Coturnix japonica: one gene and its partners. The protein of the gene in region 1 binds, or shares a complex with, the protein of each later gene. Links are inferred from orthologs where the notes say so. Each region holds a gene or a part of one and is shown in the gene's direction. Other genes may lie near its edges. The genes, in order: NALCN, FAM155A, UNC79 and UNC80.

Region 1 (7,369 bases):
TTTAGTACTCTGTCTTTCATCGGTCCTGCTGCTTGTTGTTGAATCAGAAATGAAGACAGAAATAGAGGGGGGTGACTGTTATTGCTCCTATTACCATTTTTTAATTTTAATGCCCCCTATACCATTTTTTAAAGATAACACACATACAAACACATTTAGTTTTAGATTTTGGACCCTGGTTAATGTCTGGAAATTTAAAAAGCTTACTCCATGTCCTTTATTCCAGTTCTTCAGTGCTGACACTACTCACAGAACAGCAGTTTTGCAATCCATCCCCATCAAAATCTCATGAATACTAACCCACCTTCTCTTGCACTCATCAGCCTGAAGTTGCTCGGTGATGATTTTTGTTGTGGTCATATGCTTCCAAGTGAAGGCACTTCTCATCCTGAGCCGTACCAAGCTGGCAGCTGGAAGAACGCTGGGCGGTTGGACCAGTTTCAATCAGTCAGAGTCCTGTCACTGTGATGCTGCTCTGCATGTGCTGAGCAGAACTTCAGATTCCTGAAGAGTTTTGTGCTCACAGCCATTAAGATGACTAAGGGCTTTGGATGCCTCAGGGCCAGTCAGCAACTTTTTGACTCCTTTCCCGTGCCGAAATGATTAAATCTTCTTTTGGGTTTGAAGTTTAATTGCGATTTTCTAAATGATATTTTATGACCTTTTTTTAAAGGCTCAACCATCATTCCAAAATGAATATTTCATGAATTCTTTTACCCATTACAGAATAACTAAAATCAGATCAAGCAGTGAGTTCTTTTCTAAGTGGTTAATCAAATTCCAACAATAGCATTTCCATTAAGCTCAGCTCTATGGGATGTTTTACAATTTTTTTTTTCCATTTTCTTCAACTCCTTAATAGACATATATGGATGGTGAGAACAAGAGAGGTATAAATAAAGCTCAAAAACATTCAGAATATAAGTCCATAATTTCATTATTAATAATGTGCATCTTTCTATTCTCAGCTACACAAAATGCATATAATGCTATGGAAACATGTATTTATATGTACATTAACAAAGAAGATAGTAGCAATTGAGTTCTGTAATACAGAAGATTTGGTGCCTAGAATAAGCGCTTTCCCTTCTTAACTGTTGACCTTTCGCACTGAAAATGGGAAAGATGAGAGGTTCATTATTTGTCTGCTTTGGTACAGTCTAGAAATCCACAACTAATTTTTATCTATATAGTTGCTTGAGTTAATTTCATTCCAAAATAAATAAATAAATAAATAAAATAAAATCAGCCTAACAAACAAAAACACAAGCCTTGAGATCTATCCAATTTCTGCTGCAAAACACACACAACCAAGTTTTGCATTCACCCATTTTCTTCAGGACCTACTGAGTGAGCAGGACTAAAAGCATGATTTGTAATCACCTTTTTTGATGGAAGTTCTTACTGCGTTCAAAGATCATGTTACAGAAAGTAAAGTAATAGAAAAGGGTGAGAATTCTGCTCTTGAATTCTTACTATCAGGAATCATTTATAGTTTGTTTTTATTTGAAAGTTTCCTCATGGCCAGTTTCAATCACACGATGAAGCTTGGGGAGTTATTAAAATTTGTTTTTCTATTCTAGGTTTAGAGATAGGAAATGTAAATTGTTATGGAAATACATCTTTCCTTTTGTCTTATTTTACATTATAAAGTTCCACTTACCACCCAAATTCAGTCCTTGTCTGTCTGTTTTTGGCTTGCTCAATGGGATTTTTCTAGTACAGAATAAAACCAAACTATAACGTTAAACGTAAAACAACTGATACTTGTTGAAAAATTATATCAGCCATTGTATAAATATATGTTTTCCACTTTATATGCATATACATGGTATGTACAACTTCAGTTCTAAAGTATTCATGATTGCTTTGCCTGTGGCAATTATAAAAGTAAATTTGTGATGAAATTCCAAATCATGAAATAGCTTTTCCTGGCAAATAATAGATCTCAGTTACCTCCACAGCTCTTCACAACTCTAATGATAGGACTAGGAGAAATGGTTCCAAAGTAAATGAAGGGAGATTTAGACTGGATATAAGGAAAAAGTTTTTTTACAGTAGGGGAATTGAAAATTGGAACAGGTTGCTAAGAGTTGTGATGGATGCTTGACTCATGGACACATTTAAGGTCAGGCTGGAGGGGCTTCTGAGCAGCCTTTTCTACCACTACATGTCCCTGTTCATTGCTGAAGGGGTTGGATTAATTGACCTTTAAGGATCCCTTCCAACTCAAACAATTCTACGATTCTATAAATGAAAGACACTACCCTTGCTCACAGGAAGCACACCAATGCATCAAGGGTTAAATCATTTTGCCAGCAGTATTACCACCTGGTGCAGGTCATGTTCATGGACAGACAGTGGAACAGAATCCAGCCCTGTACTGAAGTACTGGTCTGACTCTGTTAGTAGCCTGCAGTTCACAGAAGCTGCACAGGGGTAGGGAGGGCAAAATCTAACCATTACCAATATCATAGGAGGTAAGAGCAGAAGTGTGAAATAAGTTAAGGAAAATGTGAATACACTAGAGCTCAGGTTCATTTGCAGGACAACCAAGATGGTTCAGCAGATTGGCCAGACCAGATGGCCTCCTGAGATCCCAACTAAACCAAATTGTTCTATCACATATCAGTTTTCACTAGCTACTATATCCACTGAAAAGCAGTTGTACAAAATCACACCGGCTTTGCATATGCTGGTTTCTTTTGCTTAGATGTAACTTTAAAGTTTTGCTCTGCAACTGTCAATTCTCATTCAAGAGATGCTATCCTCAACAGCATAACACTGCCTAAAAACTTAGTCCGACTACTAGAATATAACTGAGGAGGAAAATGATTAAAAATATTAAGAGTACTACTTGTAAACACATTTATTTCTAAACTGATTTGCTTACTTTTTTCCTCTTCATTTTATCTTTTTTTTCTGTATGAGCTGGTCATTTACTATTAGAGGCACTAGTTCTGCAAACACTGTAATTAGGTACTCAGATTCACTGGAATTGCTAATGCTGTTAACACAGAACACAAGCGCTGACAGAACTGCATCCACAAACCTCAGGCCAGTTCCCTGACAGTCTTATTAGCTTTTTGTTGTAACAGTCACATAGATACAATCTAACAGAACTTAATGCAATTTATGCCCTATGTTTCCCTTCTGTTTTCTGCAGTATTTTGCTAAGGGTTTCGTTTTTCAAATCCTATTCCACGTCTTTAAGTCTATCACAGCAACTGCATTTGCAGGATTATCTCTTTGATTTTGCTAATTTTACAGGCTCAGAAGGCTACCAACTGGAATCATTTAAAGCGTGATTCATTGAAATTCACTTTTACTATTATTATTATTGTTTTTCTCACAAGAAGATAAAAATACAGGCCGGAACGTGGTGACTTCAGTGACAGGGTTTTCCAAGTATTTCTTTAAGGTATTCCTTTACAACAGGTGATATCAGGCTCTCCATTCATTCACTCGTAGCTGTTTTAGGCCTCAGTGAACCGACACATTCACTCCCAAGAGCACCCTACATGCTCAGTCTGATGCTGGGGGCCGAGGAGAGGCGCTGGCAGTGACAGATGTGCCAACCCCAGGATGCGCTCCCAGGGCTGCGTTCTGTTTTCTCGCTGCGTGATGGCTCTGTTTGAAGTCATCGGCGGCCTCAGCTCACCCTGCGGCTCCCAAACCACTTTACTCCGAGCCTCATAAACCCGGAGGATACAGAACCTGGGGTGGATTTTATTTATTTATTTGGCCTGGCTGTGCGTATGTTGCGCTGGGTTGGTTTGGTCACCTCCTCGGCCGCTCCTCGGGGCCCGCAGGCCGCCCCACCCGCCGCCGTTGCCGAGAGACCGAGGGCGGCCGCCCGGCTCCGCTCCGCTCCGCTCCCCCCCTCTCCGCCGCCGAAACACCGCTAAGCATCTCACACACCCGCGGGGGTCGGGGCCGGCCCCTCCCGAGCGCGCCATGAAGGCGGATGCTGGCGGTAGGTTGGAGGCATCGGGCGCGGCTCTCAGCGCGGTGCTGGCTCGGTACGGTGTCCCCCGGCTCCTCCCCGCTCCATCCCCGGTCCCCCGCGCAACCAGCGCCGCTGCCATCCGCCGCGCTTCCCAGGCCGCCGGCGGAACGAGCGATGAGAGGCCCGGCAGAGGCTCCGGGTATCGCTGGGGCCGCGTCCTGCCGAGCCCCGCGGTGGGAGGGGGCCAGCGCCAGGGAGGAGTGGGAGGGCGGCTGCTCGCTGTCGGCCTGCGGGGCAACGAATGTATCCGGGGCCTGGGTGCCGGCACTGTGCAGGCCGGGTGCGTGGTTCGCGTTGAGCCCGGCATGGGGCCCGCTCTGCTGGGCTTCGTCAGCCGCCGGGTGCGGGGTGGATGGAGAGAGGCTGAGCTGAAGTGCTCCTTCCTGCAGTCAGTGGTCGGTGTTTGGGGTTGGTCCAGTGGAGAAAGGCATCTTTGGGGTTTGGTGTTCGCATCTTTATGTTTTAGCACTCCTGATGTCAAAAGCACCATTCTAGGAAGAGCTGGGATTTCCGATGGTCTTTAGTTTCTCATCAGCCTTTAAGTTAGCTGTGCTTTCTTCAGTTGTAGTGTTACATTCTGAGTCTCTCAACAAGAAAATATTCACAGTGACATAATGCTAACTAAATGCTCTTTAGGTCTTTGTTTTTTGATGTGACATCTCAACTTCCCATTTCATTTTCCCTCTATTTATTTCCTTCTACAGCCACCATGTCCCTCCAACCCCCTAAGCAACCAAAAAAGGAAGTAATACATATTAACTATGAACTATTTTTTTTCTTTCTGTGTAAATCACAAAATTATAAAACATCTGTGGATGGATTAAAAAAACATCTTCGAGCTGGTCTACTGGGCTTCTTGAAGGCTGCTGCAAGTCCATAAGGGTAGCCCTAGGAGCATTTAGGAACAGCTGAGGGAATACTTTAATTGCTTCAACTAGGTGCATTATTTTTAAAATGAAATTTTAAAGCCATGGCAATCAACAGCATTGAAGTATAGACTCATGGTCATATTGTTTGTCATATATTTTATTTCATTCTGAAGCTTGGTCTACCAAAGCTCATTCACATTTGAGATACACCTGAGAATACCAGTTTCTAACATCCAAACTGTTTTGACTTCCTTCCTTTTGGACACTGACGTCACCATAAGCACCATGTGGAGCTGTGTGGTATTCATTCCAACCCATGTCTTGAACCGTGTAGGTTTTCAGGCCTTAAATCCTTCTTCCAAAGAAAGAAATGCTAAGCTTTGATATAGGTGTTGGGCTATAGGACCAAACTCAGGAAGAAGTGGGAAGTCAATGAATTTTCAGGATGAGAATGCCTTCTTGGATATTTATCATGATGAGTTAGAACTGTTAGTGGCTTCTGGAATTTGGGGTTCCCCTCAATGTTATTGAGGAATTCAGGCAGTTGAAAACAAGATTTTTTTATGTGTTTATGAGTTAAACAGAGTCAATGTATTCATGAAATCAACCTATTTTTGCTGTTTTACCAATGCAGTATTTCCACGGTTTGAGAATGACATGGTTTTCCCATAGGTATTGAGCTTGAAATCTTTTTGGAAGTAAAGAGCAAAAAAATCAGACTAATATGAACATTATGGGTTGAAGGGCTATGGTTTCAAACTGTTTTGTTTCTACTGATTTATCTATTTTCCCTTCCTTTATTTTCTCGGATCTATCTGTGATATACTCATCTTGCATCCCTTTTTCCCCTCTGTGAGGATCCTGAAGCAGTTGAAAAAGATGCCCAAAGAAACTGAGCAGTCTCCATCCTTGGAGGTTTTCAGGACTGTACAAATATGGGCTGACATCACATTTGACCACACTTGAGCAGAAGATTAGTCTAGAGACACCGTGATTCCTTCCAACCTGATTTAGCCTGTGATGTTGTGGTTTCTTCTTTCCGTTTAATATATATATATATATATATATATATATATATATATATATATATTTTTTTTTTCCCCCAAAATAAAACCTTTACAACTTTGCCCTTTTATTCCTGGAGCACGACATTCAGTCATTGTGTTTATGAAGATGGCAATAGGTTTCCAAAGTTTGTGGCTGCAACATGCAAGAACTCTATTGCAGCAATGAGATCAAGTATCACAGGTCAGTTTGTTTGTCATAAAGAAAATATAAGAAGAGGGAAGAGTCTTGATAGTATTTTAAGAATTTCACACTTAAAATACATGGGAGGTGGCTGTTTTTCTGGCAGATCCTAAAACAACGGGAAGAATTTGGAAAGGGAAATTCATTCAGATTTTTTAAATAATTACTTTAGTAAGAATTGTAACAGTGCTGAAGGAATATAATCACTACTTATTATATTTTAATGTATTTCAATTTAAATAGTGAAAAGATGTGTACACAAAGTTGTAGGCTCAATAGAGCATAATTAGTGGTACAACAAAATCCCAGCAACATTAAAATAATCACTTAAGCCAGCGTGCTGCCAGCCTTCTGCCTTCAGAGAAACTCCTTTCCACCCCTTCATCATACTGGGAAGGGTGCCCTCAGGCCTTCTTTTAAAATCCTGCAAAACATATCTCCTGCAGCATTCATAGGAGATTATAACATGTGGGCTGCTTTAAAAAGGATGGGTTGCTCCCTGAATCCTCTAAAAGAATAACTTGCTCCCTGTCCCCTTGCTTTCATACATATAATGTGATTTCTATCTAGAGAAGAACAGACCACAAAAGCAAATCCCAGAACATAGCTCTTTAATTTTCTTTTTTTCTAGTATGACTCTTGACAGCTCATTGCTGCATTTCTTCATCAACTTTGTCCTTTAAGGGGTTTTTGTATAGACTAGACTGCAGTAGACTAATCTTGGGACAGCAAGTGATAGGTGGGCGGTCTGTACTTGAAGTGAGCATTTGAAATAATCCAGTTGTTAAATCACACTGTGGATCCATAGAGGGAATATACTGCCATCAGTATAATCTCCACATGTAACTTCTGTGCCACCAGTGGTCATCATTACAACCACAGCATCTGAAATATCATCTTCAGTTTTGTTTTTATTGGTTTCTTAATTGAAAAATGTGAAAACACAACATTTTTAATTAAATTATGATGGCCATTGTCTAGGTGGATACATGTAGGTTCTCCAGAATTGTGTATTCTAATGGTCAGAAGGTTTCCTGTGAAAGGAATTTGTCACATGACGTGGCATAATGGTGATGGTAGGCTTACATCTTGGTCGTGTGAGGACTGCATTTATATGCAGTTCGATATTTGATTCTGCCTGCTGAGTGGTCCAAATCATTTTGGCTATGTCTGGAATTAAGAACTTAAATTTAAGAACTAAGTATGGCATGAACATTGTCCTTAGCCAGAAACAACACAGGAA
Region 2 (7,248 bases), about 2.8 Mb from region 1:
ATAATCATGCCAGTGCCACATGTCTTATAAAACACATTCTGAAAATCTCAGGTATCAAAACCTGTTGCTTACTCCAGGTTTTGTTTTGTTTGTTTGTTTTAGTTCTGTTTCTTTTTCTGTTTCATTCCTCTTTTCCACTGAAAAATGTATAAGCAAAGAAGCAAAATATAATTAAATAAATGTTACTGCAAGTTAGATGACTTACTCTGTTCTGATTAAAATCTCAATCATGGTCATCTCCCAGAATGGAAGGCAATACAAAAATGCAGTTACACTACAGGGCTCAGTATGTCAAATCATCGGAATCAAAGCTCCAAGATCAAAATTATTAATGTACCATTAGCAGATTGTGTGAGCTGATTGACCAAGAATTGCAAACTGCATTCTGATTGAGTACTGTAGACTTTTTCTTACAATACCAGCATTTTTTTTCTGTCTCTTTAAAAAGTGTATCAAAATAAAATCCACAGTTAACTTCTGCTCAGTGTAGAATTTGACTTATAGATCTTTTAAGGCCAAATGAGACCATTATGATAATGTGCCTTGACCCCCAGCATAACACAGGGCATATAGCATCACTCAGCAACTCCTCCCTTGGGTCCGCATCTTCTGTTTGAGGTATACCATTTCCTTCTGAAAGACATCCAACCTCACTTTATTGATCAAAGCAATGGAAATTCCAGCACATTCTGTGGTAAACTCACCCCTCTGTTAATGACAGCTGCAGCTAGAAAAGGTTCAAGTTTTTTCCTCTTCTGATTTGGTCTAGTTTCAGATTTAATCTCACAGAAGTAGAGAGCCATCGGCTATTAGAAATGATATAACATTATAGACGATGGCCAAGTTTGTAAAGGATAAAGCTTTCTTTAACCATATAATGGTGAAAGTTACCTCTGGGGGGTACAGCATGCACCTCATTCAGGGATCATAATCAGTTCCAAATGGTCTTTTCCCTCCAGATGGAGAAACCTCCAGGAATGAGGATGGACACGTCCTCTCCGACTTTCTCCAATCCAATGGTGAAACAAAAAAATACATCTTAGTTGTGCCCTGACCAGAAGCATATGTGATTTCTTGAGAGTAAGACCTTGTAGCATTAGGCTAGTAGAGGTCTTCATCTGATAACATTCAGTCTCTTTTCTTGTCTTGTGTGGGATCCAAATGCATCTGTTGCTGTTATATTTAAGTGTCACAGCAAGCAAGATAAAGGTAATTGCAGGAGCGACCATGCAGTATGTTCATTAAAGCAAGCGATTCTGCTGGTAGGGTCCAGAAGATAGTGGAATCTCTACTGTGGGTATGAGATCATCAGCTATCTGGCTTTTATCACCCAGATAAGACAGTTAACCTTATTCTTTGTCTCTCTCTCCAGGAAGCAACATCCAAAAGGTGAAACACAAAGACTGGTAGCACTTACTCAGCTCAAGCGTGCTGGACTAGGGTTCTGAAAAACTTCTCTTGTGGGAATGGCTTGGGGTTTATGGGCATTTCCCTGCTTACCGACAAGAAGGAAAGAAAGCTATTTCCAAGCATTTTACTGTGGGGCCAAAACCTGATGGGATCCAGCCCCTGGGGTTTCACGTGCCATTTGTGATTTGCTGTGACCAGGACAGACACGACAGCAGCCGTCACCCTGAACGGACATGGTATTTGGGGACACAGGAGAAGGAGACCCTGTAGGAGAGAGGGCTGGAGTGTGGATCTGAGCAGTGCCTTCAGCAAGGGGAAGCAGGGAGGCGAGTGGAAGGAGTTGCACTGAGGAGGCCCTTTGGAGGGGCCATGTGGTCCCCAGTGCCTCTCCCACCTCCTCCTCCTCCTCCTCCTCCTCAGGCAGGAGGAGGCAGACTTGCTGCTGCTGCCAATGCGCCAGGATAGAGAGATCTCGGCGCGGGAGGAGATGACGCAAAAGGCAGAGCTCCCCCCAAAAAAGTGTTTCTCCAGGACGAAGATGGCGGCAACTTAGCCCAAGGGCCCAAGATGCCTGTGGCCATCGGGGCCCCCCAGCCAGGCAGTTCCGCCCCGTGCGCCCGGGGACATCGCTCCCGGCGGCAGCAGCGGAGGCAGCCGCAGCCCATTGTCACCAGCGGCGGCGGCGGCCCCGGCAGCCTCCTCCTCCTCTTCCTCTTCCTCCTCCTCCTCTTCAGCATCCTCGGCAGCGCTCCGGGAGCCCTGCAGCAGCGTCTCTCCAGTTAGAGAGGAGGGGGGAGAGGAGAAAGCGGAGACGGAGACAGCGGTGCAGCATCTGTGCCGCGGCTCGGGGCTGAGGAAGAGGAGCGGCGGCGGCGGCGGCGGGGAGGAAGAGGAGGCGAGAAGCCCTCCCGGAGCCGTCCGTCGGCAGCGGGGGACGCGGCATGCGGCTGTCCGGGGGCAACGGGCTTTTCTCGGGAGGGAGATGGAGAGCTGCTCTCTGACCATGCCTGGGTGAGAGGGGAAAGGACCAGTCGCGCAGCCCCGCCACCACCAACTACCACCACCACCACCACCATCTCCTCTCCCTCTCCTCTCTCTGCGTTACCGCTCTCGCTTTCTCCGCGGCACTCCGCGGTGGATGGACTGGGGCTGCTTCGTGTAGCGAGACCAAGGCTGAGCCACTGGCCAACCCCGACACTATCTCAGAGGAAGAGAAAGAAGAAGAAAGAAGAGGGAGAAAGAGAGAGAGGGGGAGAGTGGAAGAGGGAGCGAGCGAGCGAGAGGAGGAAGACAGGCAAGAAAATCCCCCCAATCTTTTAAGTCAATGCATATTGTGGTGACACCGGCAAAGGAGCCCTCACGGTGGAGTCGGCCAGGGCTGTGCGTTCCCAAAATATGACCAGGGGTGCTTGGATGTGCAGTCGGCAGTATGACGACGGCTTAAAAATCTGGTTCGCATCCCGGGAGAACGAAAAACCCTTCGCGGATTCAGAGAGGGCTCAGAAATGGCGACTGTCCCTGGCATCGCTCTTGTTTTTCACGGTCCTGCTCTCTGATCACTTGTGGTTCTGCGCCGAGGCCAAATTCACGGGCACCGGAGAGAAGGAACAGCCGCCGCCTGACAAGCCGGAGCCCGCGGAGCCGGAGCTGCCTCCGGGCATGGGGGAACCGTCGCCCCCCGCGCCCCGGCTCCTCACCCCCCCCGAGCCCTCCCTCCCGCCCTCCCCCGGCAACGGCGGCGGCGGCGGCGGCGGCAGCGACAGCGAGCCCCGGCACGGCGAGGCTGCCTTCCTGGGGAACTCCACCGCCGCTCCCCCGGAGACGTGCCCCCCGCCGGGCCGCTCGTCCGGGCGCTGCTTCAGCGTGGGGGACGCCGAGGCGGTGTGCCGGAGGCGGGGGGACTCGGGGCGGCAGCGGGGAGCGGGGCAGAGCCCGGCGCCCGGCTGGGAACTGGCGGATTTTTACCTTTCCTTTTGTAATTCCTACACACTTTGGGAGTTGTTCGCCGGGTTGTCCAATCCGGACACTTTGAACTGCAGTCTGGATGTGGTGCTGAGGGGGGGAGGCTCCTGCAGCCAGTGCGTCCAGGCTTACCAGCGCTACGACCAGCACGCTCAGGAGAAATACGAAGAGTTTGAGGTTATGCTCCAGAAGTATTTACAGTCGGATGAGTACTCGGTGAAATCGTGTCCTGAGGATTGTAAGGTAGGAGCCCCTGCTGTGTTTCCTGTCCCTCGGCGGTGGGCTGCCGGGGTGCCTTTCGTCTTCGCGAGTCGCGCCGTCTCTCCGCGCGTTGCGCTGTGCTGTGTGGGCGCTCCGCGTTGGGGATGCTCGGGGTGCACCTGGCGTCGGCGGCCGCTATCCGCGGGTGGGAGCATCCGGGACCGCTGCGCAGAGCCCCCGGGTGAGCGCTCCTGAAAGGGAGGCAGGCAAAGGGGGAATGTTAAAAAAATAAGAGTGTGATTCTGGGTCCTCTGTGAGTGCAGAGCTGGATTTCCCCTTCCTCATGAATATGCGATTGGCTCCGTCTCGGCTGCCGGATAGCAGCAGGCTGGGATGCGGCTTGGCGGCAGGCAGCGACGGGGTCTGCATGCCAATGAGCGGGGCCCAAGACCGCAGTCGGGGCCAGGGTCGGTGAGGGGCGCGGGATGGCTGGGCTCTGCGTTAAACCGAGGGACGGGAGGACCGGCCTCTGCGGCTGGGGGCTGCGGGTCGATTCCTGTCCGCGTTTGGCCCCGCGGTCGGTGGAGCGGGAACGGGACCCTGCCTCCAGGTGCTTGTCCGCGTCTATGGAGAGGGAAGTGCTTGAGAAGGAGATGGATGTGCGCGGGGAATGTTGTGATCCTTGGCTGGGAAGTGGTGGTGATACTTGTCTGGTGATTGAATCTCTTCAGGACTCGGTTGTTGGTTATGGGGCCATAAGTGAGTTTTCAGATGTCTGAAGAGGCTTTTGGTTTGCTCCGCTGGAAGGCAGGGTCCCACTTTGTTTCTTTGGAGTTGTTGTCTTCTCTGTACGTTTGCACAAAATGAGTTGGCCTAATTCTCAAGAGAGGAGGAGATGAGAAAAAAAAAGTGTTATCTTTTGCACCTTAAATAATTATCCACATAGTATTTTCCCTGTTCATACACATATTGAGTGCCAGGCCAGGTGAATGGTTTCTACCCTGTACTGGATTAACTCAGCTACTGAAGCACTACATTAACCAGTCTGAACCAATCCTGCGTTAGCAGTGGAGCACAACAGTGTGTACAAATCCCTGTGCTGAGCAGAAGGCCTAGCAATAGTACAGTGCTCTATAACTTCAGCAGGGCCTTCTGAAATCACTTAATGATGACAGCATATTTCCAAAGCATCCTATTCCCTGTTCAGTTAGTGTACTTTACACATGTATTTGTCTGAAAATCAATCCAAAAAAAAAAAAAAAAAAAAAAAAATCCCCCCAAAAGCTGAAATATTCTGTTGTCTCATTGGGTAAAGCGAGAAAGTTACCTTCTCCACCCTATTAAAACTGACAAAAGTGAAGCATTCATTAGTAATTTTGACTCCATTGTTTCTGGAGTCATGTATGCTTTGTGCACTCAGTTACAGGTGGTGTAAATATATTTCTGAAGTGAATCACTTAAGTAAAAAAGCATAAACTGGATAAATAAAAAAGCGTGTCAAATATAAATAGATGTCTACTGCTGTGAGGACATCTTTGCCATTTCAGTAACTCCTTAACCTAGAAATTGACCTACTGCTCTTGGCTGCCAAGTAATCTTCAGGTTCGAAGTGATTCTCTTCTGTATTGCTATTTGATCAGGCTGAACTTTACCACAAACTGTGCTTTTGATCTACAATATATCATGATATAAAAGGCGCTTAAAATGCACACAGTAACAAATATACACTATATTACTAATTCAATTTTGGGGACTGAATGAGCATAAATGCTTTTCTAAGGATGGGCAAGAAGCTGTTGAAATAAGGTGCTTTCATGAGATAAGCAGGCAAACTAAACAAACATAACAATGACAGATATTAGTTCTGAATGCTGGACTAGTCAATTGATGGAACTGTGTCCTGAGAATCTGGCCAACCAATCTGTTTTAAGAAACATGGGATACTTCGGACGGGAAAAATAATGTTACAAATAATAGCAATGAGAAAAGGGTGAAACTTCGTGTTTTGTAGACTTGAGAGACCCGGGCCGGGCGCGGGGAGGCCGCTGTCCTTGGTGCTGTAGGGTCGAGCCGGACTGCGGGGAGCCGCTCTGTGCCACGTGCGCCCGGAGTTGGTGCTGCTGGTCCTTTTTGGTTCACTCTGGTCGCTGATGAAGTTGAGTGTTTAGCGGGCCCAGTGCTCTGCTAGCCACGTGCTTTGATGTGATTGTACGTGATCTGCACTGAAGTGTGTGCGGGTGAAGCTGGAAACTTGTGGTGATTGGCAAAACAAAATGGGCATTGCGATGTTTCACTGTACTTACTGGTGTTCTGTACATATTGCACCTAATACAATCAGGACATAGTTCCTCCTTCTTTATTTATCTATTTATTTATTTCTCCTTCTTTTCTTTCTCTGTACCTAAATATTAATTTTTAGAGCACTGGAGACCTAGATACATTCTAGCATAAGAAGCAGTATTCATGCGTAGTAAATAGCTTGACATCTAACTATGCACTTGAGGTACACGTCATTGGCTTATGTGGTGAGCTGCTTTTTATCTTCCATTAAACAAAGATCTAAAACTACTGACTTTTTTCTGTTATCGTATATGTAAGCACTGGCTTAGTAAAATAAAATGCTTGTTAAATAATGTATTTGTATTTAAGAGATCATTAGTATTGTAGGAGAGCTGCTCCATTCACAGAAGAGAGCTTTTCATCCAGGTGTCTAGTTATACCTGATGACAAAATCAATAAAATTTATACTGGATACCAGTCACCTGAAACTTTTAATCGAGTATTACTTCCCCCTTCCCCATCTCCCCTCACCTTCAGCAACGTCAATTCTCAAAGTAAATAGTCCAGCAAGTTATGTCATTCAATTATGTAATTTTGGTTATAGAAAACTGTTCATATAAAAATAATGTTGATGTAACTTTTTAAAACTTCAGCTCCATATTATCATTCCTTTATCCAAAACCGAAAGAAAAAACTTAAAATACTATGTTCCGCTACATGTCTCCTAGTCCCTGAAGAGGATTTTAAACAAACTGTTTTGTAATACAGAAAGTTATTTTCAGACAGGAGTTATTCAGGTTATCGGTTCATATCCAGCTATCTAACATGGTGTTTTTTGTTTAATTTTGTTTTAATAGATAGATATATTCTTTTAAAATAAATGCCTTTCTGTAGTCAAGGTCATCTTATTAAACTTCTCATTGAGGTGCATTACCTTAAAAAAAAGAAAAAGACAGAAAATGCTGAGAATTTGTAATCTGAGAGTATTATGAAAGCTATTATTACTGATAGTTACATTCATTGTTACAGTGAATATGCATATGCAACTCATATAATTAAGAATGTCAGCAGACACTGTACATTGTTTGGAAATTCTGGATGTTAGTGTTATCTCTCTGCAAATTAATCTTCCATTTACTCTGTAAAAATATTATTGAAGTCTGACGTCTTTACGTATGTTTTTTCTTGTTCTGATAATCACTAACGACAAAACAGTAAATATAAGTAGGACGCCTGTATGAATGCATTACATATCCAACCAGGTGATATACATAAATTGCTTTTAATTTATTGAATCATTAAGTAATAAGGTAATGGAGAATCTGAATCTACATTTCTCTTTTCTTGCTTTGTATTTATTTATTTTTTTTTAATTTATGAAATTTTGCATTTGAG
Region 3 (7,286 bases), on another chromosome or scaffold:
AAATAGATGTATTTTTATATATGTATTCATCTACTCTAATTTATGAACAACTTAAGAAATTTTCTGCATGCAGTTGATGGTAGGAGAGCTTACAGTTTCATATTTTTCACAAGGATTACCTTTTCAATAATAGATTGTTTAATCTCAGTGGTTAAAACCAAAAGACTTTAGATCTTTGTTCAGAGACAGTTCATGTCTGGAAGACTTCATATGGTATTTTATTTTGCGTTATTTTAAACATTACACACTATTTTTTTCCTGAATTACATTGCCATTGCAATTCACGCTGTTATGGAAAACAAAGTCACAAAACCAGCAAAATCCACAGAAGCAGTAATTAATGGATGGGGATCCATCCCAAATCTTACCTGCCTTACCCTACAAAAGGCACAGTAGAAGGAAACATGAAGATTAAGCCTCCTAGGTTAGTGGATTATACCTATTTCCTCTGTAAGAGGTAGGTGTGTTTTGTAGCTCTCAAATATACTGTGTCACCTTAATATCCAGACATCCAGATGGCTGATTTTCAGCAATTACCTCCTTCAAGCTCAAAAACAGTCCCTCCTAAAGTGAAGTCAAACGTAGGTCAGTGGAGGCTTGTGTGGATGAAAGACGTGTTTCTGACAAAAGCCAAATGTAAAAAGGAAGTGTACAAGAGGTGAGAGCAGGGGTAAGGAATAGGACCTGTAAGGAATAGAGAAACAGTGTGCAGGAATGTCTGAGTGTGAAGAGATGGATGGAGTTAGGAAAAGTAGAGATTACCAGGAGCTGAATCTGGGGAGGGAAAATAAAGGACAGTCAGAGGGATTTGGTAAAAAGAAGGCTAAGAAAAATGGGGTAGGGGATCTGATGATGAAGGATGTGAAAAAGGCTTAAATACTCAGTATCTTCTTCACTTTAGCCTTTTCTGATAGGGAATCCAAGGACGTGAGGCCAGAAATTCTAGAAAAAAGGACTCACTCAAAAGATGGAGGGAATCAGATTAGGGAACAAGTCAGACAAGATTTAAACAAGTCAGACATACATAAGACCATGAGGACTAAAGGAATGCATGCCCAAGTGCTGAGAGTGGCCGCTGTCATTGTGAGACTGCTTTTGATTGTCTTTAAAAGTACAAGGGAACTGGGGGAGAGCCCTGAGAAGTGGAAGTGGAAGTGGAAGAAAGCAAATGTCACTCCTAATTCAAGAAGGGCAAACACAAGTATCTAGGAAATCGTAGGGCTATACACCCTTACCTTGGTCCTTGGAAAAATAAAGGGCAAACAATCCTGGAAAACCAAATACACTACGGAGCTTAGGCATGGCTTAGGCATGTACAAGGACTTATGAGCAATAAACCTGTTCTCATATACCCGAGATACATGCTGGACTGTATAGGGTCTTGCTCAGTAAATGCAGACAAGCCTCCAATTTTCAGGCATTTAAGTCAAAGAAGTATTTTATATGAAGAATGGAATTCATATTTTCTCAGTGTACTCCTGCTTTATCAAGCTGAATGTTTCAGGAGGCTCATCACTGGTATGTGAACACTCGGTATATTTTAAGGGATACCCATGGGAGCTCAGTTCCTCTCAGTGAAGAGATCCCTATTGTTCTGTAATGAGTGGTAGAACACTTTAGCATGATCTGTTGCAACAACAGACAGAAATTCAAGATAAAGATGAAGTCTGACTTCAACAGCCTATTTCTGTGAGGCCTGAAAGCCTATATTCTGAAAGCCTCCATTTTCCTCACTGATGTTTTGTTTGGCGAGGTTAAGACTTGGGGAAGGGAGGCTTGCAGTTCCATGTGACCTCCTCAGGCACTTCATTACAATAAATAAATGGAAAAACTCTCATTGACTTCAGCAGGATCTGATATCACACGTCAGTGCCTAATGAAAGAGTGAAGCGTAAGCAATCTCTGCCTCACCTCTGCTGCCCAGGTAACAATATACAGATCTTGCAGTGAGCTCAGCAGGAGGAAAGAGCAAAGCACATGTGGGAGAAGAACAGAACTTTTTGCTTTCTTAAAGTACCACTCAAGCAACCAGAGCCATCCTTTCCCAATTAACTCACGTCCTTCTGTTGCCATCCAGTTCCACTATATATCCATAGCAGCCACAGGTAGTCATAGCAGCCTCCAATCTGAGCAGCAGGAACCGGGATGCACTGCTTGCATGATGAACCAGAACATGCACCTATACTCCTCCAGCTACCTGGCACTGCTCTCTTTGGCTGCTGTACGCCACCTCATCCAGCTCAGCCCTTTAGGGAGATTATATTGAAACAGTATTACTTGTCAGGATCCAGACGCCTGCCTTATGGTACCTGCAGACTCCTGCAAAACACGGGTCCCCTGTGCCAAGCAATCTTCTGAAGCCAAACTACTGGATACAGACAGGGACTGCAGGGTTCTTGATCTGTTTACCACCCTCAGCTGTTTAAACTGGAGTTGGATGAACACACATCCATGAATTTGTGTGCCCACTGAATTGTGTGTATTTCTCACCCTGAAAAATGGTAATTATTATTTCAAATACCCTCATTTATTTAATTATTATTTTTATTTTCCTGGAAAATGATAAATATGTATTTGTTTCCTTCTCCACTTCTGTAAGTGCTACTTTAATTATGATGTTATGATGTCCCTGCCCGCAGCAGGGGTTGGAATTGGATGATCTTTAAGGTCCCTTCCAACCCAAGCCATTCCATATTTTCCCATGGCAGGAACCTACAGGCATTGCTAATAAGAAATAAGAAGAAAAAATGCACTGTGAATCTGGAGGGACTGTGGAATAGGATTTGGTTAGAAAATACAGATGTGTCTGCAGTGCAGCTCGTTTATTTAGCATGTGGGGGTCAGACTCTTCTCCCAGGCAACAGAGATAAGGTGAGAGGCATTAGGTTGCGCCTGGGGAGGGTCAGGCTGGATACAGAGAAGCCTTTCTTCTCTGAAAGAATGGTAAGGTACCAGCACAGGCTGCCCAGGGAGGTGATGGAGTTCAAGAAAGGTACAGATGTGGTACTGAGGGACATGGTTTAGAGTGGTCACAGCATGGATCGATGTGATGGTTGGGCTAAATGATCTTGGTGGTCTTTCTGACCTTAATGGCTCTATGACACTCTGATGATGAGCAGCTGCTGCCTGTGGCCCCAAGGCAGCCCCCAAACACCCCCAGAGCCCCACTGGGGAGCACCACCACTTTCTTGGGGCCTCCGGGACCTCGGTGCCGCCCCCCGGAGCCGGTCAGCGAGGCGGCTCCAGGCAGGTTCCCTTTAAGAGCTCTCTCCGTTCCCGCCCCGTCTCCGCCCGCCGCCGCCGCTCCCGGCCCGCATCCTTGCGGCAGCGGCTCCATCCCCAGCGTGGTGTCGCTCCGAGACGGGGCGTTGCGCCGTCCCCGCTGCTGAGGTGGGCGCTTGGGGCCGCCCCGCCGGCAGCATGTCCACCAAGGCGGAGCAGTGTGAGTGGCGGGGCCGGGCGGCGCGGCCGGGTGCAGTCCGATGGGAGCGGGGTCCCGGGGGCTGTCTTCTCGCTGCGGGGCATCCCGGCGGGGCAGCGCTCACCCCGCGTTGTAGGGCATCCCGGCAACGGGCAGCGGGAGGGGTGGTCTATGGAGGGGGGCCGCCTCCTTTCTGGCTCTTTCTGCCTCCGCCGTTGCGGTGGTACTGATGGCGAGGCGGCCTTCCTGGGGACGCAACGCGTCCGTCCTCGCTGGGCGCTGGGGTGGAAGGGATGGAGCGGGCATCGGGCCTCTCCGGCATCGATCCCGGCGCCGTGCCGCCCGGTTGGTGCTCCTGGCTTTGCTGCCGTGATGCTGCCGTCGCTGTGTGATGGAAGCACGGTGCCGCTTTTGCTGGTGGCACGCACCTTTGGGCTGAAGGTACGGCGGCATCGCTGCCTTGCCGCGTTCCTCCACGCCCTGCAGGACCCTCGGCTGCCGTCAGCTCTGCCCGCAGCTTCTCGTGGCAGCCGGTGATGTGCCAGCCACCATGATGGCTGTGTGCGGGGAGCTGCCAGGTGACATGGTGGCTGGGACGGCTGTAGCTGGGCCGCGAGTGTGTGGATGCTGACGGCAGCTGCTGTTCTGCCGGAGCGCTGCGAGAGGCGGAGGGAAAAACAGCAGCGCTGTCGGGATGGTCACCCGCATCAAGGCTACCTTCTCTGCCGGTGTTAGAGCAGCAGGCTGGATTGATGACTGCCATAACTACGCGATGCGATCTAATGGCTCAGAGGTTCATTGCTGTCCTCTGCATCCTGTTGGCTTCTCAGGTCACTGGCAAGAGTCCTTGTTCTGATAAGCCTGTGCTGAACTGCTCTAGGGAAGTGATTACTTGTAACTTTTCCTTTAGGGTTTGCCACTTATTCACAGTAATGGATGATGCCCCTATTAAAATATTATGTGGATGCAAATTTATTACTGTGGGGCTGTGTTTCTGGCCTTGTGTATAGAAAGGCAATGTTCTGACCATACCTCAGGCCTTGAGTGTGCAGTGCTCAGATCCATGCTGCTCTGTTCTTTCTGCCTTCCTCCCACCCAAGTTTCCTTCTCATACACTGTCCTTCACACTGGCCTGTAGAAGAATGTCTGCTGTTCCTTATCCTGCCACTGTCTTCAGCATTTTCCCTCTTTTCTGTTTTGCCTCCTCAGTTTCCCCATTCCTAATTCTTTTGGTCTTCTCTGCTTGAGCTTCTATTCCATATATATATTTTTTTCCTTGTCTGTCTTTCCTTTTCATCCCTTGTACAATTTGGGAGACTGCTCTACTGTGTCCATGTTATTTTTCTTTAAAGATTTACTTGGGCTCCAGTTTGCAGATATTTCCTCTTCCTGACACTTTTTCATGGCTCATCAGAGCACTCTGTTCAGTTAGCAGACATATCCTGTGCATTCCGACTTACTGGATGTATCTTGTTTACAAAGGCTGCTCCCCTGTTTAGTTATTATGGCATTACCAAATGTCTTTTTCTCTACATAACTTAAAGATCCACTCACCTGCAATTTTTGACCAATGGTGATGGTGTCTGACAAGGATTATATTGATGTGCATGCGTAATTATCAGGCAAACCTTCAGACTCCAACTGTGGCTGCTGTTGCTTCTGCCCTCATGGACAGACAAGTGAGAACCAGAATGTCTCAAGGAGGAGTTATACTAAATCTGAATTTACCAAGAAACAACGGGAAAAAAAAACCCAACAAATGTGGAAACGGAGTGACCAGTTGGAAAGAGCAACAAGGCACTGGTCTAAACATGAATGCATGGCCACCCCCTCAGCACTTTGGCAGGTTGTATGGAAAGCAGGTAAAATGGTGGCAATCTGGGAAATCATCTTGAGAAGCTTCTATTTTTGTGACCGCTTGCATTTCATATCTCATACGAGGGGATACTGACAGTGGGTTTCATCACTTGACCCACCACCACAGCATGCCCAAGGTATGCTTTTGTATCAAAAAAGGGTTGGTTCCTTTTCACCTTGAGTTACACTAGCTGGCATTTAGTTGTGGTAAGTAATGTCCTGGGAAAGCCTGATTCTCACAATGTTTTCCAGGGTAGTGGAACAACCAAAACCATATTTAAAAGCTCTTAATAGTTTCACTCAATTCAGTAAGTGCTTATGAGGAAGCTAGAAAGTTTAGTTAGGTTGGTGCAGATAATAAAGAGATACCCAGCAAAATACCATGAAATATTTCCTTTTCATTTTTACTTTGAATTTGTTTTATATGATGACCCCATGAGAGGGGCAAAGAAAGTATTTCCACAGAGTGACATCATATTTTGAATTGTATCTCTGGACGCTCAGGTAATTCACACATTTCACTATCTTCAGGGCTTATAAACCTTTGCTCTGGGGCTTTCTTTTAGAAGGGTGTCAGTGTTCTGGGATGCTGTACTGAAATGGTCAGCGTTCTGGGCAGCTCTGTGAGGTGAGGCCAAAACCTTGAGTCTAGAGCTATGTTAAGTATTTAGAAAATCTAAATAAAGTGTTCTGTTATTTCAGCTTATATAATTGCAAGACTGCTCTGATTAATAGAAAAAATATATATACACGCTACTGAAAGGAAGTAATTGTCGGAAGATGTTCCATAATTTTCAGCATTTCATTAATTAATTTCATTTACAGATATCTGAATCATAGAATCATTGAATCACCAAGGTTGGAAAAGACCTAAAAGATCATCCAGTCCAACCGTTCACCTATTACCAATAGCTCCCACTAAACCGTGTCCCTCAACACAACATCCAGTCTTTCCTTGAACGCCCCCAGGGTTGATGACTCCACCACCTCCCTGGTCAGTCCATTCCAGTGCCTGACCACCCTTTCTGAGAAGTAATACCTCCTAATGTCCAGCCTGGATCTCCCCTACTGTAACTTGAAAGCCATGGCAGCCACATTCAAGGTCAGGCTGGACCATGCTCTACACAACTTGTTCTACATGTGGATGTCCCTGTTCATTGCTGGGGAGCTGGACCTTTAAAGGTCCCTTCCAACTCTGAGAATTCTATGGTTTGGGCAATTGAGGGTTGGCAGACTGGGTTCCTCTGTAGAGATGGTCAGACTGAATAGAGCAAAAAGTGCCCAGACCATCCTTGATTATACCTGCATGAGGCTGGCCTCACATAGGCAGTGCGCAACTCGGTAGCTATAGTGGATCATTTTTCTTCCAATACTGAACATGGAGCTTGGTTAGATACTAAGAGCGCTATTTCTAAAACAACCAATCTCAAAGAAGGTGTAGAGCTTCTTCTACTCTTTGAAATGCTCTCATCTGCTTGATCAGATTTCTTAAGACACTTAAAGAAACAGCACAGCTCTTTTAGTATCTGTAGTTCATTGCATAGCGTATATTTGTAACATTAAGTAAATAATACCAGCTCTCTGTATTAGCTTGTATTTCTCCTTTTGGCTATAGAAATGTCACCTCACATAAACCTCCTGTTATCCAGTGTCTCATTTATTATAAATGAATCCTGAGATTTTTTGAAGACACAGATAACTGCTCTTTTTCAATTATCCCCCCTCCCCCATTTGCTAGCAGAAAGGCAATATGAAGCAGGAGCAGACTTGCTGCCTTTCTTGTCTTCCCCTTAGCACTCATGCATGGTAATGTTCAATTTATTTTCTCTTAGAGGTGTCTGTATCATCTATTAGATATGCACAGTTTTTACATTACATACTCTCTCTCTCTCTCTCTCTCTCTCTACTCTGCCCTGGTGAGGCCTCATCTGGAATACTGTGTCCAGTTCTGGGCTCCCCAGTACAAAAAAGACAGGGATCTCTTGGAAAGAGTCCAGTGGAGGGCCAC
Region 4 (6,072 bases), on another chromosome or scaffold:
AGGATGCTTTGTATGTAAATCATGTCAATTCCGTATGTAAAAGCTGGAAAATATGTTCCGGAGGCTGGTGATCTCATTTGGAGGAGCTGTCTGAGGGAGAAAAGGATTCAAATTTATCTTTGTTTGTTCTGGCTTTGAGCTTGCAGAATCTTTTCCTTCTTTCCAAACCACCACAGCTGCGCTGAGATTGCCACAGGCATGGCTAGGACTGAGATGATGTGGTCAGACAATGTAAAGAGAAACAGCGTCAGGGGCTGAAGGTAGTAGTGTCTTTCTCCTGAAGTTGCCAGCTGTCTCACCACAAAGCTTCTGGAAACGCATACAGTTTAGTGCAAAGTCTGGCTTGGGTTTAAACTGATAAGGGAGCAAGGAAGAGGACTTTTAGCTCAGTTAACCAGACTTTGACCTGACGCGGCCAGGAAGCTCACATGTTCTGTTCTACCAAACTTAGGAAGAGCAGTAACTTCTGCCAAAGGGAAGAGGGAGCTGTTTAGGAGACAGAACTTCTTAAGCCTCTCTGCAGACATCCTCCATGTCTCGTCTGACCACATCAGACCTTAGGTTTGCCTTCTTCCTCTGCTCACGTTAGGTCAGATAGTAAAATTTCACTCTGTTGGTGGTACTGAGCTCCTCCAGGGAGATCCAAGGAAAACATCTAGAGAAAAGGTTGTTTTTCTTTAGGTTAAGGCAGGCCAAAAGCGAAGTGGATTGTAATACCTAATCTACTACAGTGCACACCAGCTATAGCTGGAGGTTGCTTAAATAGGACTTGTGGCTCAGTGGATTCCAGTCTCTCCCAAATAAGTAGCTGCCAGATTTAAAGGAAGTCCATCTAAATGTTAGTTGCTATTGTAACCATAAGTCTTTCAGACACAGTGCATTCAGCTATTACATTTTGTGACCGCTGCCTGCTCAATGACCAACTTTTAACTGTTGGGAGGAATACAGTACTTGATAAAAATGAGGGGAGGGTGCTGCTTCTGTAGGAAGTAGATGTAATGATCAGTTGAATGGTAGAATGGGATGGTACGTAGCCAAGTCTGTTCTATTGCTAAAGATTGTTTTGTGCCAAGATATTAAAACTTAATATGTGCGCTTTCATGTATATATGAATTTTATGTTCACTTGTATTTTTCATCTGTTAGCTGCAGAGATTCAAGGCTGCGAGTGTTGAGTGTGGGGCCTTGTTCACATAACTCATGCATCCATTATGTGAATAGATCTTTTGTCACTTTGTGTTTGTTTTTTGTTTGTTGAATTGAAATTAAAACCAGATGACAAAATTGTGATGAGGCTGTGGAGTGCATTCGGGAGGAAAAAAAAGTAAAATAGCTCTTACAACATTGTCCATGAAGTAAATGAAAAGCAAACAAGAAGGTTTTAGAGCTAGGAAGCTGATATTCTTGCCTTTTGTTGAAGAAGCCCGTGTGGCAAAAGGTGAAGAGAAGTGAGTGTTGCTCAGTGGGATGCATCAATCAATGACTGAAAACTGAAATTTGTAGTTATTTATAGTTGGATGCTACCTGTGTGTGGCCAAGTCCTGAATGCCATGACTCCACCTCCCACCCTCTCCTAAGCCTTGGAAGCCACAACCCAACAGACACGTTCCCACCATCCTTCAAAGACAGTATGTGCTCTTTGAAGTGACTGTGCCATTAGTGGTTGATCTATCTATTTATTTTAGTCACAACTGCCAGGACTCCTGCTAGTTATACAGGTTGCTTCTGTGCCTGACCTAACGCTGTCGACATCCAACAGGGTGGCAAGCGTACAGAGTGAGCCAGGGCAGCAGAACCTCCTTCTGCAGCAGCCCCTGGGGCGGAAGAGAGGCCTACGGCAGGTGAGTGAACAGGCCTTGGTTGTTCCCAGTCTGTGTCTGTTCTGAAATGATTTCTGAAACGTGGCTCTTTCTTCCCATTTCTAGCTTCGACGACCGCTGCTGTCCCGTCAGAAAACTCAGACTGAACCTCGTAGCCGCCATGGAGCTCGACTTTCAACCACTCGGCGGAGCATCCAACCCAAACCAAAACCAAGCGGTAGGGCAGTACTGCATGTACAGAACCAGCACTTTGTACCCTAAAGCAGACAGTACTTGGTTGTTGCTCTACATCAGAGGAAAAGTTAGTATATTTGAAGGGTGTGTAAGCTGTTTTCAGCTGCTTTGTGGAAATAAGCGGTGCCCTCGTTAACTAGTTTGTGTTGAGTTTCAGTTGGTAAGGGCTGGAAAATGTGATTACGGTGAAGCATCACCATGTATGTTCTTTTCTCTAGCAAGTGGATATCCTGTCAGCAATGGTTGAATGGTTTCTCCAAAGGCCAGCAAGGTGAAGCTGGACACAGACAGCCAATGATGTTTCTTAAAGCTGTGGAGAAGTTAGGGTACAGGTGTCCTCCATTCCTTGTCCAAAACTTCCAGATGTGCCTGTTTTGAAGGTGCTAGTGAGTGGAAGAAGGAAAGAAATTTCCCACTCTGTAGCTTTGCAGTTGAGAGTTTTAAGGGCTGTATATGAAAATGAATCTGAGTCAGCACTGTCAAGCAGAGCAGGTAGTTGCATTCTGCACATCTGAAGTGAGCAATTAACTTTGGAGGAAACATCTGGAAGAGCAAAGTTTTCTTGAGAACTTCCTGGGTTTCTAATTGCTCAGCCAGGACTGCTGGGCTAACAGAGCTGCTGGAGATGTTTGGAATGTAAAACTTCTACAGGAATAATGAAGGGTGAGAGCAAGGCTGTTAGTTTCACGGTTAAGTTTTAGTCCAGGCAGTGGACTCGGTTAGTAAAAGGAATAAGAGGCAGTCAGCTCCCCTCTTTCTTTTCTCAAGTTTCCTTCAAAGCCTCAGGAAACTCCCTTCAATATTTACATCTTAGTTTTCCCTTACATGAGAATCCAATACATGAAATTCAGGGATGGAAATATGTTTTGGGTGGCATTATCTCCTTGATCCATGACAAAGACAGGTAGGCTCAGTAGTCTTCAGAAGAACCAAGACTCTTGCTCTGGCTTCAGAGGAAGACTATGAATAGAAGGCTTTTAGATTGGTTGCTATTTAGACACCTTATAAAGATGGAATGAATCAGGAGCCCTGTCTTGCTTGTAAAACCACTAGGGATGCTGTCTGCTTTCATTCTGTTTTCCTTCCTCAATTCAAGTATTTTAATAATTCATTTTTCTGTGCTTTGCACCTCTCAGCGGATCAGAAGCGTTCGGTGACTTTCACTGAAGCCCAGCCTGAGGCCGCACCGCCATCCCCAGCCAAGTCCCCAGCTTCAGCTGCCCAGCTGCAGGGCTGCAGCCGCAGCAGCCCCCAGGAGAGCAGCAAGCAGGAAGCTCCAAGTAAAACTGTGCTGACATCCTCACCTGCTGTCGTCGTAGCTGATCTCCATAGCCAGACCACTGGCCAGGTAGCATGTCCAACAGTTTTATTGTGTGTGTTTGCCTGCTGCTTCATCTCAGCCTCAGCAACTTAAGTTGCAGGGCAAGTAGATACAGCTGTACTACAGCAGCATGATGAAAACCTGCTGATGGGTCAAGACTGTGGTTTGTAGGCTGAATTGTATCAAGCCCTCACTTCTCTACCTTTGCAATGATTCTTAGTTTGCAGATCCCTGTATCTTCTCTTTTAATCTTCCCATCAGACCCACAAGTCCTTGTGGACCTGCTTGAGGTTTTGTCAACTGGTCTTTGCTCCTCATTCTATGAGCAGTGAGTCCTTCAGGAAGGATTCCTGCAGAAACTGAGGGGAGTAACGTTAACAGCACCATGTTTCAAAAGGAGCTGCTTAGCTGCTTGTCCAGCATCTTTCTGTGTTGGACATCGCTGAGCACAGTGCAGAGATAGTGGTGATCACTGCTTCTACGCACTGAGACTGCACAGTGACACTGAGATCTTTTACACACCCAGACACCTCACGTCTTTTGGCTGTATGGCCTTTGCCATGAACAAGTATAAGAAGCTCTTGTTGAAAATACACTGAACAGTGAAATGGCAAAGAGTTAAAAACTGAAAGCAAACAGCTTTTCTGGTTATTGCTACGGATTTGACTCACCAGCAAAAACTGCAAGGGTAGAACTTTAGGGACTTAAAATCTGTGATTGCCTGGCCCCTTAATGGCAAAATGGTAGTTCAGAATAAGTAAATATTTCACAAGTGTTCCCTTGCTGTTTTTTCCTGCCCCCTCCCTGTTCCTCTGAGCCTAACCACTGCCTCTCCTCTCCTGCAGAGCGAGGTGCTTTCTGCTGAGAAGGAGAAAGAGGAGAATGTGGAGTCCCGGCCAGCCACAGCACAAGGCACGCCGCCCGCACAGCTCTCCGACACCGAGGACTACGCTGGCCTCGAGACCACCAGCTTGCTGCAGCACGGAGACACGGTGCTTCACATCAGTGAGGACAATGGGATGGAAAACCCCTTGCTGGCCACTCACTTCAGCTTCACACACGTGGAGCTCGGGGAGACGGACGTCGACCTGGATGAATCTCATGTTTAACTCTTGGGGAGGTACGGTAGTGGGAGGAGGAAGAGAAAGCTGTACCTTCTCCTTTGAGTTCCCCGGTAACTAGTAACTAATTAAGAGCACTTTATTATCCAAAAGCAGAATAGAGCTAACAGCCTGTTGCTATAGACTGGTATGAGGAATCTATTCGTATCCAGGGCGAGACTTGTAGGAGCAGAGAATTTGTACAACATTCTCAGGGTACGGGTGTGTGGGCAAGTGTGCGTGGTCCACAAAGGCCTGATGTGGCAGCCGTGTGCTGTGATAGGCAGCCTCTCTGGGTAAGGTACTGAGCAAGGAAAGAGAGACCTCTTGGGAGGTGTGTTTTTGTAGCCGTGTTGACTAGAAGGCTGGTTATGCAGCGGCTGGATGCCAGGCTTTGACATCTTGGTACCAACAGTGAAAGCACTGACAAAGAGTACTAATCTAAAGCTCGACTTTTACAAGCCTGGAACCATTGTTTCTTACTTGCAGAGCAATGATGAGCACTGTGGAGCAGTTAGACGCTTGTGTTTCCTTTTTCATGTTTTTGGCACTGCAGACTTGAGTTGACTTTGCTTGTATCTGTTGGTGTCGTTCTGCTCTGTAAGATGCTGCCCTCGTGCTACAAAAATATTTGCTCTGTTAAACTAAATGCGGCTCATACCACAGAAAGGAATGCACGTGCTGTGCACAGAGAGATGGACAGGGCGTGAGTGGTCTGCAGATGATAAGACATAGTCCATGCTTTGCTGCTTTCGTGTACTGGGTGATGCACGGCTTAGAACTAAAAAACCACCTGGGAAACCGCATCTGGAATGCGTGGACCTTCTGGTACCTTGCAGCTGCTCTACTGATGCTGTCTTATGTACTTAACTATAGGGATTTAGAGTAAATATTTATATATGGTATTTTCGTGTTCCTTATAGATGCAAACATACAAATATATATGTACTTTGCAGAGAGAGGATGGATATTGCAGTGCAGAAACTTGATGAAAGAATCTATTTTTGGCATGCTGAGATTCTATTTAGAGGTTCCATTACGTGTGTGTAATGTTGACGGCTGCAAGTGTGAGATGTGTATGTGCTACATTTATATGACTGAGGTGATCCCCGATGGGGAATCAGCTGAAGTCCCAGCTCAGTGAAGGGCTGCACTGCAGCACTATGGAATTACTGGGAAATGTGAATGTAGCCATCAGCTGCTTGGGGGCAAACTGCATCCAGCTGTGAATCAAGCCATGAAATCGTAAGCAGGGCCCAAGGTCACCGTGTGCTTTGGGATCCCACACAGCCTTTCCCAGTGTCTGTGAGAAGGGCTGGGAGCTGTGGTTGGTGGCGTTACTGTGCAGAGAGAAATGCTTCAGATCACTGCGAGTCTGCAGAGTGTGCTCATGACCAGTTTGGCCCCTAAGGCTTGTGATCTGAACGTGTGTCATAAAGCAGCTGTACTGCAGAGATGGAGCCATATCCTCTCATCTCCCAGGGAAGGACTCGTGTCTCCTGCCCGCAGTCTCCCCAGGAGCTGTTCAGATAGTGCTGTACAAATGCTTGTCTCGCTGTTGTGGTGCAGTGATGTGCATGCCTGGCAGCATTGCCTGG

The links.
Region 2: the proteins of NALCN (region 1) and FAM155A are in contact, whole or in part, in a cryo-EM structure (PDB 7CM3), measured with the Homo sapiens proteins. The link is inferred for Coturnix japonica from reciprocal best matches to the Homo sapiens genes NALCN and NALF1. Residues at the interface, in NP_001337678.1 of Homo sapiens: Cys207, Val209, Asn220, Leu222, Ala223, Ile224, Pro225, Thr227, Tyr237, Pro240, Phe243, Tyr406, Glu409, Phe909, Ala1044, Lys1045, Asn1047, Pro1049, Arg1054, Ile1060, Arg1062, Ile1063, Asn1064, Val1065, Ser1066, Lys1069, Lys1080, Lys1081, Gly1083, Phe1084; in NP_001073865.1 of Homo sapiens: Lys278, Glu281, Phe282, Val285, His287, Lys288, Tyr289, Leu290, Gln291, Glu294, Tyr295, Ser296, Val297, Lys298, Ser299, Tyr308, Trp311, Leu312, Gln315, Leu335, Gln338, Thr339, Cys341, Phe343, Ile344, Leu345, Pro346, Asp347, Asn348, Asp349.
Region 3: the proteins of NALCN (region 1) and UNC79 are in contact, whole or in part, in a cryo-EM structure (PDB 7SX3), measured with the Homo sapiens proteins. The link is inferred for Coturnix japonica from reciprocal best matches to the Homo sapiens genes NALCN and UNC79. Residues at the interface, in NP_001337678.1 of Homo sapiens: Gln349, Met350, Phe351, His352, Glu353, Gly358, Trp359, Gln360, Leu361, Phe712, Ser713, Ile714, Arg717; in NP_001333147.1 of Homo sapiens: Cys861, Gln862, Ile865, Glu968, Pro969, Asp970, Phe1020, Gln1022, Pro2088, Asp2089, Ala2092, Pro2093, Leu2095, Leu2096, Met2099, Leu2139, Pro2141, Asn2142, Gly2143, Ile2144, Gln2147, Leu2148, Ser2151.
Region 4: the proteins of NALCN (region 1) and UNC80 are in contact, whole or in part, in a cryo-EM structure (PDB 7SX3), measured with the Homo sapiens proteins. The link is inferred for Coturnix japonica from reciprocal best matches to the Homo sapiens genes NALCN and UNC80. Residues at the interface, in NP_001337678.1 of Homo sapiens: Asn639, Met643, Val644, Ile646, Lys648, Leu649, Pro650, Phe653, Val655, Pro656, Lys657, Ile658, Arg659, Glu660, Phe662, Met663, Lys664, Gln665, Phe666, Ile667, Arg669, Val711, Ser713, Arg715, Ala716, Arg717, Leu719, Lys722, Glu723, Ala725; in NP_115893.1 of Homo sapiens: Lys1979, Asn2004, Glu2005, Cys2006, Asp2007, Leu2128, Arg2129, Leu2130, Pro2131, Pro2134, Arg2135, Ile2138, Asp2139, Phe2142, Phe2145, Ser2146, Glu2179, Asp2184, Glu2185, Met2187, Leu2188, Asn2191, Asn2194, Ile2198, Leu2199, Glu2202, Ser2226, Leu2227, Ser2228, Gln2231.

Annotation. Positions count from the first base shown.
Region 1 is NC_029516.1:129,117,837-129,125,205, forward strand, and holds the start of NALCN (sodium leak channel non-selective protein), read left to right. Parts: upstream 1-3,506; 5' UTR 3,507-3,976; intron 3,977-4,003; exon of another isoform or gene 4,004-4,022; intron 4,023-7,369. UniProt on the Homo sapiens protein: Voltage-gated ion channel responsible for the resting Na(+) permeability that controls neuronal excitability. NALCN channel functions as a multi-protein complex, which consists at least of NALCN, NALF1, UNC79 and UNC80.
Region 2 is NC_029516.1:126,347,280-126,354,527, forward strand, and holds the start of FAM155A (transmembrane protein FAM155A), read left to right. Parts: upstream 1-2,668; 5' UTR 2,669-2,805; coding exon 2,806-3,615; intron 3,616-7,248. UniProt on the Homo sapiens protein: Auxillary component of the NALCN sodium channel complex, a channel that regulates the resting membrane potential and controls neuronal excitability.
Region 3 is NC_029520.1:40,928,351-40,935,636, forward strand, and holds the start of UNC79 (protein unc-79 homolog), read left to right. Parts: upstream 1-3,297; 5' UTR 3,298-3,420; coding exon 3,421-3,442; intron 3,443-3,665; exon of another isoform or gene 3,666-3,862; intron 3,863-7,286. UniProt on the Homo sapiens protein: Auxiliary subunit of the NALCN sodium channel complex, a voltage-gated ion channel responsible for the resting Na(+) permeability that controls neuronal excitability.
Region 4 is NC_029522.1:6,625,912-6,631,983, forward strand, and holds part of UNC80 (protein unc-80 homolog), read left to right. Parts: intron 1-1,758; coding exon 1,759-1,840; intron 1,841-1,924; coding exon 1,925-2,036; intron 2,037-3,189; coding exon 3,190-3,401; intron 3,402-4,219; coding exon 4,220-4,483; 3' UTR 4,484-6,072. UniProt on the Homo sapiens protein: Auxiliary subunit of the NALCN sodium channel complex, a voltage-gated ion channel responsible for the resting Na(+) permeability that controls neuronal excitability.